Zea mays: one gene and its partner. The protein of the gene in region 2 interacts with the protein of the main gene of each other region in a pairwise test. Links are inferred from orthologs where the notes say so. Each region holds a gene or a part of one and is shown on either strand. Other genes may lie near its edges.

Region 1 (6,372 bases), on a different chromosome or scaffold from region 2:
TCACCGTCAAAAACCGGTGGTTTGCCTAATGGGACGGAAAGTAATGGAGTGCGTTTTGAAATACGAGGATAGCGGAGGGGCATCTTACTATACTTCTTGCGCTCATGGCACTTAGAAGAGTTGGATGCCGATTCGGAGCCGGAGGTGGAGGGTGACGAAGAGTTGGTCTCGTAGTAGACCACCTTCTTCATCTTCTTCTTCTTGTCACCTCTCTATTGTGACTTGATGGAGGAAGAGGATTCCTCCTTGTGCTTGTGGGCGGACTCCCTCGAATGGGTTCTCCCCGAGCTTGCGGATGCTCCCTCTTAGCGAATGGGTCGCCGCCGGTCCCGATCTCCCTCTTGGCGGATGCTCTCGACATCACTTCGAGTGGTTAGACTCTTAATGAAGTACCGGGCTCTGATACCAATTGAAAGTCGCCTAGAGGGGGTGAATAGGCAAATCTGAAATTTACAAACTGTAAGCACAATCTACAAGCCGGGTTAGCGTTAGAAATAAAAGTGAGTCCAAAAGAGAGGGCGAAAATAAATCACAAGCAAATAAAGCGGATGACACGATGATTTGTTTTATCGAGGTTCGGTTCTTGCAAACCTACTCCCCGTTGAGGTGGTCACAAAGACTGGGTCTCTTTCAACCCTTTCCCTCTCTCAAACGGTCACCTAGACCGAGTGAGCTTTTCTCCTCAATCAAATGGGTCACTTAGACCCCACAAGAACCACCACACAATTGGTGTCTCTTGCTTTGATTACAAAGGTGTTGAGAACAAGAATGGAAAGAAGAAAAGCGATCCAAGAACAAGAGCTCAAAGAACACGAGCAAAAACTCTCTCTCTAGTCACTATTTGCTTGGAGTGGAAATGGGACTTGGAGAGGCTTTGATTCTATTTGATTTGTGTCTTGTATTGATTGCACTAGCTCTTGTATTGAATGTGAAGTCTGAAAAACTTGGATGCCTTGAAGTGTGGTGGTTGGGGGGTATTTATAGCCCTAACCACCAAAGTGGTCGTTGGGGAGGTTGTCTGTCGATGGGCGCACCGGATAGTCCGGTGCACCACTGGATACTGTCCGGTACGCCAGCCACGTCACCCAACCGTTAGGGTTCGACCGTTGGAGCTCTGACAGATGGGGCCACCGGACAGTCCGGTGGTGCACCGGACAGTCACTGTTCACTGTCCGGTGTGCCTTTTGGCGCTGCTCTGACTCTGCGCACTCTGTCCACGCACTGTAGCGCTTTTACAGGTTTCCGTTGGAGTCGACCGTTGCGCTGTAGCCGTTGCTCCGCTGGCACACCGGACAGTCCGGTGAATTATAGCGGAGTGACATTTCCAGAATCCCGAAGGTAGCGAGTTGGAGTTGATCCACCCTGGTGCACCGGACACTGTCCGGTGGTGCACCGGACAGTCCGGTACGCCAGACCAGGGCAGCCTTCGGTTTCTTTTGCTCCTTTCTTTTTGAACCCTATCTTGAACTTTTTATTGGTTTGTGTTGAACCTTTGGCACCTGTAGAACTTATAATCTAGAGCAAACTAGTTAGTCCAATTATTTGTGTTGGGCAATTCAACCACCAAAATCATTTAGTAAAAGGTTTGACTCTATTTCCCTTTCACCTACCAAATGTCTTGTCGTGCACGTGAGCTCGTCCCCTTAGTCTCTGTTTGTTTGGACCCACCTGACTACGTGTCTGTACCCAACAATGAGTATTAAGATGGTTTAGTGTAGAATTTAGTTTAAATTTCACATAAAATTACTCCAATACAGATGAATTGAAGGAATACATTGGTATAGTAGCCCCTCCTAATTTGATATGTCCCCTCTAAACTCAAATTTTGGCTTCGCCTGTGAGTTTAAGGCTACCATCTTTCTCTCTCTCTATGTGATTAAGGCTCCTCAAACTAATAGTTAGCTACTAAAAATTAGTTGTTGGGTTCCAAACACCATCAGCTAATATCGACACTAATTGTTAGCTATCTCACAGCTAACAATTAGTTCATTCACTCGCTAACTATTAGCTCTATAGGTTCTAAACAAGACCTAATTATAACGAGGTAGATTAGTTATGTGTTTTTATGTTTTCTTAGAAGACAGTAGAGCTAATAGTTAACTGCTATAATTAGCTAAATACATTCAAACAGTAGCTAATACTTCAACAATTAGTTATTTTTAGCAAATTAGCTAATAGTCAACTAGTTATTTATTAGCTAGTTAATTTTAACAGTAATTTTTAGCCAACTAACTATTATCTACAGTGCATTCAAACACCCATTAAAAAGGGCTTAAAATGAGTTTAGATCATGCCCCGGGTGGCAATGGCTTGTATCCGTCTCTCCATGTATAATTTATTTTATTAAAAAAACAGAAGCACAAACTACCGCAGCTTATCAAGCAAGCGCTACGGAGCGCAGGTCACCGAGCTCTGGCCCGCCCAAGTTCACTACCCGACCCGCCGCGCCGCAGTCTAGAAGCTTCTGCCGGCCGTCTGCGGCCCGCCCATCCGCAACCCATGGCTGTCGTCGAAGAAGACGCTGCGGCGTCTGCAGATCCCGCCGCCGCGTCCGATCCCGCCGCTGGTGAGTACCCTCCTCGCGCTCGGCCACTACTACCGCCCCTACCCCACTCGTGGCTGGCTGGTGCTCAGTGAATCGGGTGCTGGTGGCTTGCTCATACGTTCTGTTGGGGATTCTGGCCATTTGGGAGATTTGGGCCGCGGTTACTTTACAACAAGGCAGTTTCGGATCCCACCACACCCGCGGCTTGCCAATTCCTGCCGCACTACACTACACTTCCCTGAATTGCAGTGTGGCTATAGACGATAAGATTCGGGATCTGTGTCAAGACGCAGACTCCCCGGTTTCTGACTTCTGCTGCTTTCTGATTCTCAGGCTCCAGCGAAAACGAGATCACAGTAGAAGAGGCTTCTTTCGTGCATTCTGAACCTCCCCAGGATGGCAGCGCCCCACCCGTGGTTTCCTCTGACATGGAGGCCCTTCACGACAAGGTTAAGAAGCAAATCATCAAAGAAGGCCATGGCAGGAAACCGCTGAAGTTCGCGACGTGCTTTGGTGAGTACGGCGTAGGTGGTTCGGACCATATGCTCATGCTCCGGATGTCGAATTTTAGGATGAGCTAATATGCTGTGCCTGCCTGTCCTGTTTCTTATTCTATAACAACGATATCTTGTATGTGTTTCGTTTGAGCGACCAAGATCATGAGATGCTTATGGTTGTGTCAAATTTCAAAACTTCAGATTTTAACCCTGTTTCGTCCAAAGCTGCCTAATTCAGTCGTTGCACGCTAGTTTGATTTTGATTTAGCACGCATGAGAACTGCCGTGAATTTAACTTTTTTTTCTTTTTCTAAACTTGGTGTTGCAGTGCACTATAGAGCATGGGTTCAAGGATCATCGCATAAATTTGAGGATACCTGGCAAGAGCAACATCCAATTGAACTAGTACTTGGAAAAGGTGCCACAACAATCACTTCGCTTATTTTATACTTAGTTTTACTCGGCTCCGTGCATTTCACCCATCTATTCCATGAATGCAAACAGCTTACATTGCATGCTATTATGCCTTTATAGTACAATAATGATGGTTCTTAGTTACGATTCTATATAACCAGTTATCCTTCAAGTAGTCTGTCATGCCTTCTATTTATGATTTAATTTGCTGTAAGATGAAAGAGTGAAATATACATAGTTAGTTGTGATTTGCACCCTTTTTATGTTGCATTGCCAGTAAGCCTACAGGTACTGGGTAACTAGCCTGAGAATCATATGGACAACCTCAGCTGTACAACAGTGTTTATCAGTGATAATTGCCTATGGGGAAACTTTCTAAAGCTTTCTCCTCAATCAACAGAGAAAAAACAAATGTCTGGTTTAGGCATCGGTGTTGGCAGCATGAAAAGCGGGGAGCGTGCATTGTTGCATGTTGGTTGGGAGCTAGGCTATGGCAAAGAAGGAAGTTTTTCATTCCCAAATGTCCCTCCAATGGCAGACCTTGTTTATGAAGTTGAACTCATTGGATTTGATGATGTTAAAGAGGTAAGAAACAAAGGTCTACTGCCTCCACCCCACATTATGATTCACTTATATTATTCTTTTGAAGAGTAGGCTGAGATTATTCATATTGGTTAGCATTACTTACTTTTCTCAATGTGGGAAGTTCCAAATAATGATAAACTGTGAATCAGGGTAAATCCCGAAGTGACATGACAGTTGAAGAGAGGATTGCAGCTGCAGACAGGAGAAAGATTGAGGGCAATGCATATTTCAAAGAAAAGAAGCTTGAGGAGGCCATGCAGCAATATGAAATGGTTAGTAGCATGCTATACTTTGGACATTATTGTAGTTATCAGCATATTCTGATTTCAGTCGACCTGTTCTCTTCTACAGGCGATTGCATACATGGGAGATGATTTCATGTTTCAATTATTTGGAAAGTACAGAGACATGGCCTTGGCTGTGAAAAATCCATGCCATCTCAATATGGCTGCATGCCTGATCAAACTAAAGAGATTCGATGAAGCTATTGCGCAGTGTAGCATTGTATGTTACTCGACCATGCCCATAAGTACATTCAGTCTTGAACCCACGATTTACATTCATGGGTACATTTTTACAGTTTACGGCTTTGCATAGACCTTAGCAAAAAACTATACAGGATTGTATGTTCCAACAGTAACATTTTTACAGTTTACGGCTTTGCATAGACCTTAGCAAAAAAATATACAGGATTGTATGTTCCGACAGTAACAGCATGATAATTTTTTAAATGGTGTTAAAAAACTGTAGCAACTAAGCTCATATCAACATGAAAGATTCAACATTACAGGTATCGAACAGCTGATTTGCACATTTCCAGCCTTTCTATTGCAAAAAGGTGTTGGTCTCATGATGTTTCATGAAGTGAACAATCCCATGGTCCTGATACAAAATCAAACGAAAAAATTACCATTTGATGGATTATCCTTTTTGTAAACATATTATTCAGGTTTTGACAGAAGATGAAAGTAATGTCAAAGCGCTGTTCAGGCGAGGAAAAGCTAAATCTGAACTTGGCCAGACAGAATCAGCGAGGGAAGATTTCCTCAAAGCGAAGAAGTACTCCCCAGAAGACAAGGAGATCATTCGGGAGCTCCGTTTGCTCGCGGAACAAGACAAGGCACTATACCAGAAGCAGAAGGAGCTCTACAAAGGTCTCTTTGGGCCAAGTCCTGAAGCGAAACCGAAGAAGGCAAAGTACCTCGTTGTGTTTTGGCAGTGCCTGGTGTCATTTATCCTTTATCTGGCTGGGATGTTCAAACGGAAGAACGAGTAGGATAATTTACCAGAAAATTGTGTAGAACTGGTGGCCTAATTGACCAACCTTGTATTATAAGGAGTGTTGAATTTTCTGTAGAACTGTCGGCCGGTCCGGATCAATTAGTTGTTATGAACTCTATACGATGTTGTTCACTATTATGCCATAGTTTCATACAGTCTTTCAACTGGAGCTCAAAGGGCCTTTTATGCCATTGTATATTGCAGCTTTCATATTTAGATTATGCTAGTAATAATACTGTTGCTACAACTGGAGCTCTAGATTTCACTCTCCTGTTGGATGCTGCTGCAATAGAAACTGCAGCTGCTTGCACAAAGCACAGGCTCTCAGTTCATTGCTATGGCATGTTGGCATCACAAACATTTGAGTGCAAGCAGCAGGCGGCGTGCCTGAACACACGCTCCTGATTCCATCATCAAAAGACAAGTGTTCCAGTTCAGAAAACGTGCCTGAACACACGCTCCTGATTCCATCATCAAAAGACAAGTGTTCCAGTTCAGAAAATCGGAAAGAATTTGTTTATGTAAAATATATTTATATATTATTATTAGTAAGATGTCGGAGATATTTATGTGCTACATTTATTATGGAAGAGTGAAACGAAGAGTGTCATGTAAGTTACAATAAAAACAAATTATATTAATGCATAAAATCATTTCACATCCTTCACGTCATAAATTTGAGATAAACTATATCTGAACTTTAGAAAGTATTGGAATATCAAATTTCAAACTAAATAAATTATTTTATTAAGTAAATTCTAATTTCTATAAAATGAAGGGATCTAAACACCCTGTTAGTGAAAAATCACAAGACACGCTCCTCATGTGTCTTTCCAAATTCTTTAGTGAAACAGACCCTATCCCTGAACACACGCTCCTGATGCCATTGCCATCATAAGAATTCCATTGTTCTACTTGCTCCGTCTTGGTCAAACTTTTTAAAGTTTGTTTAACGAAATGAATTACTCCTATAAAAATATATATATCGGGTTGGACCCTGTACCTGATGGATGGCCCTATACATCAGGTCGGGCTAGGCCGTACCCGTGA
Region 2 (6,505 bases):
AACGGGTATGGGTGAAGGCGGAACGTTCTAATACCCGTTTACCCATTGGGTGAAGATTTTTGCCCAATAACAGACCCACGGGTAGAATATTTAGCCCACATACATACCCTAATGGAGTAAATACCCATCGGGTATCGGGTCGCGGGTACCCATTGCCATCTCTATTTTCTCCACATCAGGAAAGCTGGAAGAGCCTTTTGAACTCAGTTTTTTTTGCTAACTGTGGTGTTATGGTGAAATAGAGTTTTGTGTGTATGTACCAACAACTAAAATGTAAACACGACATTATCATAGTTGAGTTCAGGAATAATTATCTCTTATATCTTATTGTAAGATCCGAAACAGTTCTCCTGTAGATGGTTAGCTTGCATTTTACGCTACAATTACCTCAGATCACTTCTTGTTGTATCTTACACCAATTTATGAAATTTCTTGAAGCGTTTTATGACAACCTCGTGCGCTGAGAGATACATTCGGTCTACATTCGTTATTATGAAATAGATGGACGATTTATGCTAAAATCCGTACTCATTTACGTTGTTTTGGTTCACGATTTACGCTTAAAACCGTCCGAGCCAGAATCCGCGCACGACCGATGGCGCGTGATTTTTGCGCCGTAAATTTGGGCTCCATTCGCCATTACGAAACAGATATACGATTTACTCTAAAATTCGTACTAATTTACAATGTTTTGGTTCACGTTTTACGCTAAAATCCATTCGAGCCAGAACCCGCGCTCAATCGGCCGCACACGATTTTCAAGCCGTAATTTCTGGGTCCATTTGCTGTTACGAAACAGATATACGACTTACGCTAAATTTCGTAATCATTTATGTTGTTTTAGCTCACGTTTTACACTAAAATTCATTCGAACCAGAACCCGCGTACGATCAGCCGCACGCGATTTTTACGCCGTAATTTCAGGCCTCATTTGCTGTTACGAAACAGATATACGATTTACGCTAAATTTCGTAATCATTTATGATGTTTTAGCTCACGTTTTACGCTAAAATCCATTCGAGCCAGAACCCGCGTACGATCGGACGCACGCGATTTACACGCCGTAATTTCGGGGCCCATTTGCTGTTACGAAACAGATATACGATTTACGCTAAATTTCGTACTCATTTATGTTGTTTTAGCTCACGTTTTACGCTAGAATTCGCCCGAGCCAGAACTAGCACACGATCGGACGCGCATGGACCTGGCTGGGGTTTCCTGTACTAATGGAAGCCCTGGACTTTCATTAACTCCTCTCTCTCTCTCTCTCTCTCTCTCTCTATATATATATATATATATATATATATATATATATATATATATATATATATATATATATATATATATATATATATATATATATATATATATATATATATATATATATATATATGTGTGTGGTGCCTTTCTTTCAAAACATATTATGCAACGCGTACCGTATCTCAACAAACACCTTCAATAAGTTGAGTCGGGGTAGATCTCAAGGCTACATAAAATAGTTTTTTTTCTAGAATGGATGCATTTGTTTTAAGAGAAAAATGATGCACTTGGAATGCATCAAGCAAAGGGATGTAAGAATGTTGGAAAAACACATGAACCCGTATCGCGAGATGCTTATTTATCCATTCTTTATCACAGTGGATGCATATGCAACAAAACCAAAACAGATGGTTAGCGAGTGACAGTATATAGAGATCTAAAGTTGTCCGACACTTCATCGGTAAAAAAAGCAGCATAACCGAGTGAATGGAAGAAAAACGAATTTCTCATATACACAGCAGGTTTTCTTAAAAAACGTTATATCGGTATTATATTAAGAAGAGACCAAAATATGGTCCTGTCGAGAAAATTTCTAAACATTAGTTCTCATCACCAGTGAGCCGTCACCATCTAGTTTGCAACGGTCCAGTTAGAGTGCACTCAGGACTCGCAGCGAGAGAATTTTTTTAATCAAGCCTAAAATTCACTTTCGGACAAATCGAACTACTCATAAATATTAACCATGAGACCTTTTCGCCGCAGCAGGTTTTCTATCGGCCGTTAGATTTTAGTGACGATGAAAATGATAGAACGCAACGTGCCGCATGCATCCATTCCCATTCGTTTTCCACAGTACATGTAGGAGTACTGTGCAAGTAGGGTCCGTACATTCAGTCTCTCTCACTAGTTGGACTCTTCTACTGCTACAAAGACATGAGCTGCCGGGAATGGGAACCGGAGGAGCGAGCGAGCCTGACGGTCTCACACACACAGTCACACTCCCAAGCCAATTATTATAAGAGGCGAGATGAGCAACTCCAGCTCTTAACCAATCCACTCCTCCTCCCTCTCCACCTCCTCTGCTTTGCTCTGCCACTCTGCTGAGGTGGGGGGCAGAGGAGCTCCCCCTCCCTCCTCTCCCCTCCTCGCCATGTCTAGCAGCGACCCGGAGGAGATCAGGGCGCGCGTCGTCGTTCTCGGTTCGCCCCATGCCGACGGCGGCGACGAGTGGGCCCGGCCCGAGCTCGAGGCCTTCCATCTGCCGTCTCCCGCCCACCAGCCTCCTGGCTTCCTAGCCGGGCAACCGGAAGCAGCAGAGCAACCCACGCTCCCTGCTCCTGCTGGCCGCAGCAGCAGCAGCAGCAACACGCCTACTACATCTGCCGGTGGCGGCGCTGCTCCTCCTCCTCCTTCTTCGCCTCCCCCTCCGCCGGCTTCTCTGGAGACCGAGCAGCCGCCCAATGCCAGGCCAGCCTCCGCCGGCGCCAATGACAGCAAGAAGCCCACCCCGCCCGCCGCCCTGCGCGACCTCTTCCGCTTCGCCGACGGCCTCGACTGCGCGCTCATGCTCATCGGCACCCTCGGCGCGCTCGTCCACGGCTGCTCGCTCCCCGTCTTCCTCCGCTTCTTCGCCGACCTCGTCGACTCCTTCGGCTCCCACGCCGACGACCCGGACACCATGGTCCGCCTCGTCGTCAAGTACGCCTTCTACTTCCTCGTCGTCGGAGCGGCAATCTGGGCATCCTCGTGGGCAGGTACGCTATCCCTCCTCCTCCTGCCGCCCCAGCTTGTGTGCGTCGCGAATTGGCGGTCAATTTGGATTGGATGACAAATCACGTCGGTCAGCCAATCGCCGTGGCTACAAACGAGATGTTCAAATCGTTCGCCCCGCTCGCAGAGATCTCTTGCTGGATGTGGACCGGCGAGCGGCAGTCGACGCGGATGCGGATCCGGTACCTGGACGCGGCGCTGCGGCAGGACGTGTCCTTCTTCGACACCGACGTGCGGGCCTCGGACGTGATCTACGCCATCAACGCGGACGCCGTGGTGGTGCAGGACGCCATCAGCGAGAAGCTGGGCAACCTCATCCACTACATGGCCACCTTCGTGGCCGGCTTCGTCGTGGGGTTCACGGCCGCGTGGCAGCTGGCGCTGGTCACGCTGGCCGTGGTGCCGCTCATCGCCGTCATCGGCGGGCTGAGCGCCGCCGCGCTCGCCAAGCTCTCGTCCCGCAGCCAGGACGCGCTCTCGGGCGCCAGCGGCATCGCGGAGCAGGCGCTCGCGCAGATACGGATCGTGCAGGCGTTCGTTGGCGAGGAGCGCGAGATGCGGGCCTACTCGGCGGCGCTGGCCGTGGCGCAGAGGATCGGCTACCGCAGCGGCTTCGCCAAGGGGCTCGGCCTCGGCGGCACCTACTTCACCGTCTTCTGCTGCTACGGGCTCCTGCTCTGGTACGGCGGCCACCTCGTGCGCGCCCAGCACACCAACGGCGGGCTCGCCATCGCCACCATGTTCTCCGTCATGATCGGCGGACTGTAAGGCCCACCACACCACGCACTCTCTCCTTCTGCTGCTCCTCGGCCCGCCCCCGTCGTCATTGCTGCTGACGGTATCTGTGGATCGCGTGCAGGGCCCTCGGGCAGTCGGCGCCGAGCATGGCCGCGTTCGCCAAGGCGCGTGTGGCGGCTGCCAAGATCTTCCGCATCATCGACCACAGGCCGGGCATCTCCTCGCGCGACGGCGCGGAGCCAGAGTCGGTGACGGGGCGGGTGGAGATGCGGGGCGTGGACTTCGCGTACCCGTCGCGGCCGGACGTCCCCATCCTGCGCGGCTTCTCGCTGAGCGTGCCCGCCGGGAAGACCATCGCGCTGGTGGGCAGCTCCGGCTCCGGGAAGAGCACGGTGGTGTCGCTCATCGAGAGATTCTACGACCCCAGCGCAGGTATACCTAGTACTGTTACTACTTTTAGCGCATTAATCTGAGGATGTCCAGTTCGCTTGCTTGCCAATCGCCATTGCCATCGCAACAACAATACTTCGCCAACTGCCATTGCTGGGTAGACTAGTACAGTAGCAGTTAGAAGAAGCCTCCACTGTACATTGCATTGCCAAACAAAAGTGAATTGTGCAGTAACTCTGTACCACCACATTGACATGGAAATGAAGTGAATGCTTGGAGCATGCAGAGCTGGCCGGCCTCATGGGCTGCTGCTACCTGCTAGCTAGCCAACCAGAACCAGCCATCCTCTTTCTTGCTTTTCTTTTTACTTTCTTTGGTCGTGGCTGTTTGTGGTCATACATACATTCACGCAGAGCAGAAGAGCTAGCTAAGCTAGGTGGGTGTGCCTGCAACGCGGGACAAAGAAAACTATTTGTTGCCTGGCAAGATGCTACTGTTGCCTAGCACATGCCTGCCATTGACCGACTGCTCAGTGAGAAGTGGTTCAGTTGTGCTGTTGACAGTATAGATAGATATATATAGTAGCCCTGTAGATTTTTTTTTCAGACAAAAAAAGAAGAAGAACGAGATGAAGTCTGCAATTCGGTTTTGGCAGGGCAAATCCTGCTGGACGGGCACGACCTCAGGTCGCTGGAGCTGCGGTGGCTGCGGCGGCAGATCGGGCTGGTGAGCCAGGAGCCGGCGCTGTTCGCGACGAGCATCAGGGAGAACCTGCTGCTGGGGCGGGACAGCCAGAGCGCGACGCTGGCGGAGATGGAGGAGGCGGCCAGGGTGGCCAACGCCCACTCCTTCATCATCAAACTCCCCGACGGCTACGACACGCAGGTCCGTCCCGTATAGCTAGCTCACTAGCTGCACTGCCACTTCTCTCGCTTGCTCCCCACCGTTGCTGCCTGTTGCTCTCCAATCCACTTGTCGGTGTCTGGACCACACGTGCCTGCTTGCCTAGCTGCTCCACATCTGCTTTCCCTGTCCAACCTTATGCAACTCACTCTAATACTATATCAAATACATTTCTAGAGTTTAAAGCTTATCTTAGAATAAATGCATCTTTAGCTACGAGACAACCTAACTTCAGTTGTTGTTGTTGTTTTTTTTACTTTCTCTCTTCTCACAAATACTATGATTACGTCTTTACAGCGATCTTTTTTATTCCAAACCTAAAAATGCATGCACTCACTCTAAAAGCGCAAAGGGAGCATCTTTTTTTCCCCCATCATCTGCACGCAGCCTTTTCTTTTCCTCATGTCACGAGGGACTGAAGGTGTGTATGCAGCGTCAAGTCATCCATCCGTTCCACTCCACTCACTCATGCGTCGCGCACTCTGCGCTCGTGCCTGCCCGGGGCTAAAGCTTTAGTAGCTAGCCTCAGATCAGATACTGTTCGTGTTTGTTAGGCCGCGGCAGCTGCACATGAGCTCATGACAGCCGGCAGCACCACCACCAACGCCATGGAAGAGGGGTCGGGGTCCATCACATAGACATAGATGCCTGTTGTAGACTAGGACGGGAGGGCAATTGTTAGGCGCCTGTTGCCATCGCATTTGCTGCTGTGGGTTGCCAACAAGTAACATGCCAGGATGCTTTGCTATCACGCACAGGACAGGAGAGGTCCTTTTTCTCGACACAAGCTCTACAGCCTCTACTAAACTAGCACTTGCTGATGAGTGCAGAGGATGAATGGACGATGAACATCTAGAGTGAGAGAGAAAAAAATGTTAATAATAATAAAAAGTAGTAGCAGGATTAAGAATCAACCTGGGGTACGTAGGAAGAGGTACAATCCCTAGGAATCTAGAGTATGAGAAGTATGGGAGGAGTTGGGGGAGTGAAACGGAACAAATTCCGAGTTGGTATTTTGTCGGGAATGTCAAGTTGATTTTTGATCCTAGTGCAAGCAAGAATTATCAATCACTCAGACTCAGCCTGTCTGTGTCTGTCCACCCCAGCTCTTGCTACTCTACTTACTACTGTGCTACTAGTGGTAGGGTAGGTATCTTACATAAACTGTTATTATAAACTGTCATCTGAGAAAGAGAGCCAGTCAAACCCATGCTGCTGCTTATTTTAATCACTGTCAAATGGCAGGCAGGCAGGCAGTCTGGTTAGTTAATAACATCTGGGAAGGGTTTAATCAAACCAAATCAAATCAGACGAAATCTAGAGGCCACATGGGATGGGGCCATATGTACTGTACTAGCATAACTAGCGGCTAGATTTTATTAGAACACGGACTCACACTCCCATAACTATAACTGACTTGATCATGATTCCTTGCCAAGCAATG

What was found. The genes of interacting proteins can lie anywhere in the genome.
Region 1: the proteins of PGP1 (region 2) and Peptidyl-prolyl cis-trans isomerase FKBP42 interact in a two-hybrid assay, tested with the Arabidopsis thaliana proteins (2 studies listed by BioGRID, with this or other methods). The link is inferred for Zea mays from reciprocal best matches to the Arabidopsis thaliana genes ABCB1 and TWD1.

What each region holds. Positions count from the first base shown.
Region 1 is NC_050097.1:149,009,820-149,016,191, reverse strand, and holds Peptidyl-prolyl cis-trans isomerase FKBP42, read left to right. Parts: upstream 1-2,359; 5' UTR 2,360-2,499; coding exon 2,500-2,566; intron 2,567-2,878; coding exon 2,879-3,058; intron 3,059-3,370; coding exon 3,371-3,460; intron 3,461-3,856; coding exon 3,857-4,041; intron 4,042-4,190; coding exon 4,191-4,313; intron 4,314-4,392; coding exon 4,393-4,545; intron 4,546-4,990; coding exon 4,991-5,317; 3' UTR 5,318-5,498; downstream 5,499-6,372. UniProt on the Arabidopsis thaliana protein: PPIases accelerate the folding of proteins. It catalyzes the cis-trans isomerization of proline imidic peptide bonds in oligopeptides.
Region 2 is NC_050096.1:206,629,854-206,636,358, reverse strand, and holds the start of PGP1, read left to right. Parts: upstream 1-2,334; 5' UTR 2,335-2,410; coding exon 2,411-3,014; intron 3,015-3,157; coding exon 3,158-3,794; intron 3,795-3,889; coding exon 3,890-4,200; intron 4,201-4,813; coding exon 4,814-5,043; intron 5,044-6,505. UniProt on the Arabidopsis thaliana protein: Brassinosteroid exporter that, in conjunction with ABCB19, supports the accumulation of exogenous brassinosteroids (BR) in the apoplast, thus promoting BR signaling initiation involving the specific receptor BRI1 and required for plant growth and stress responses.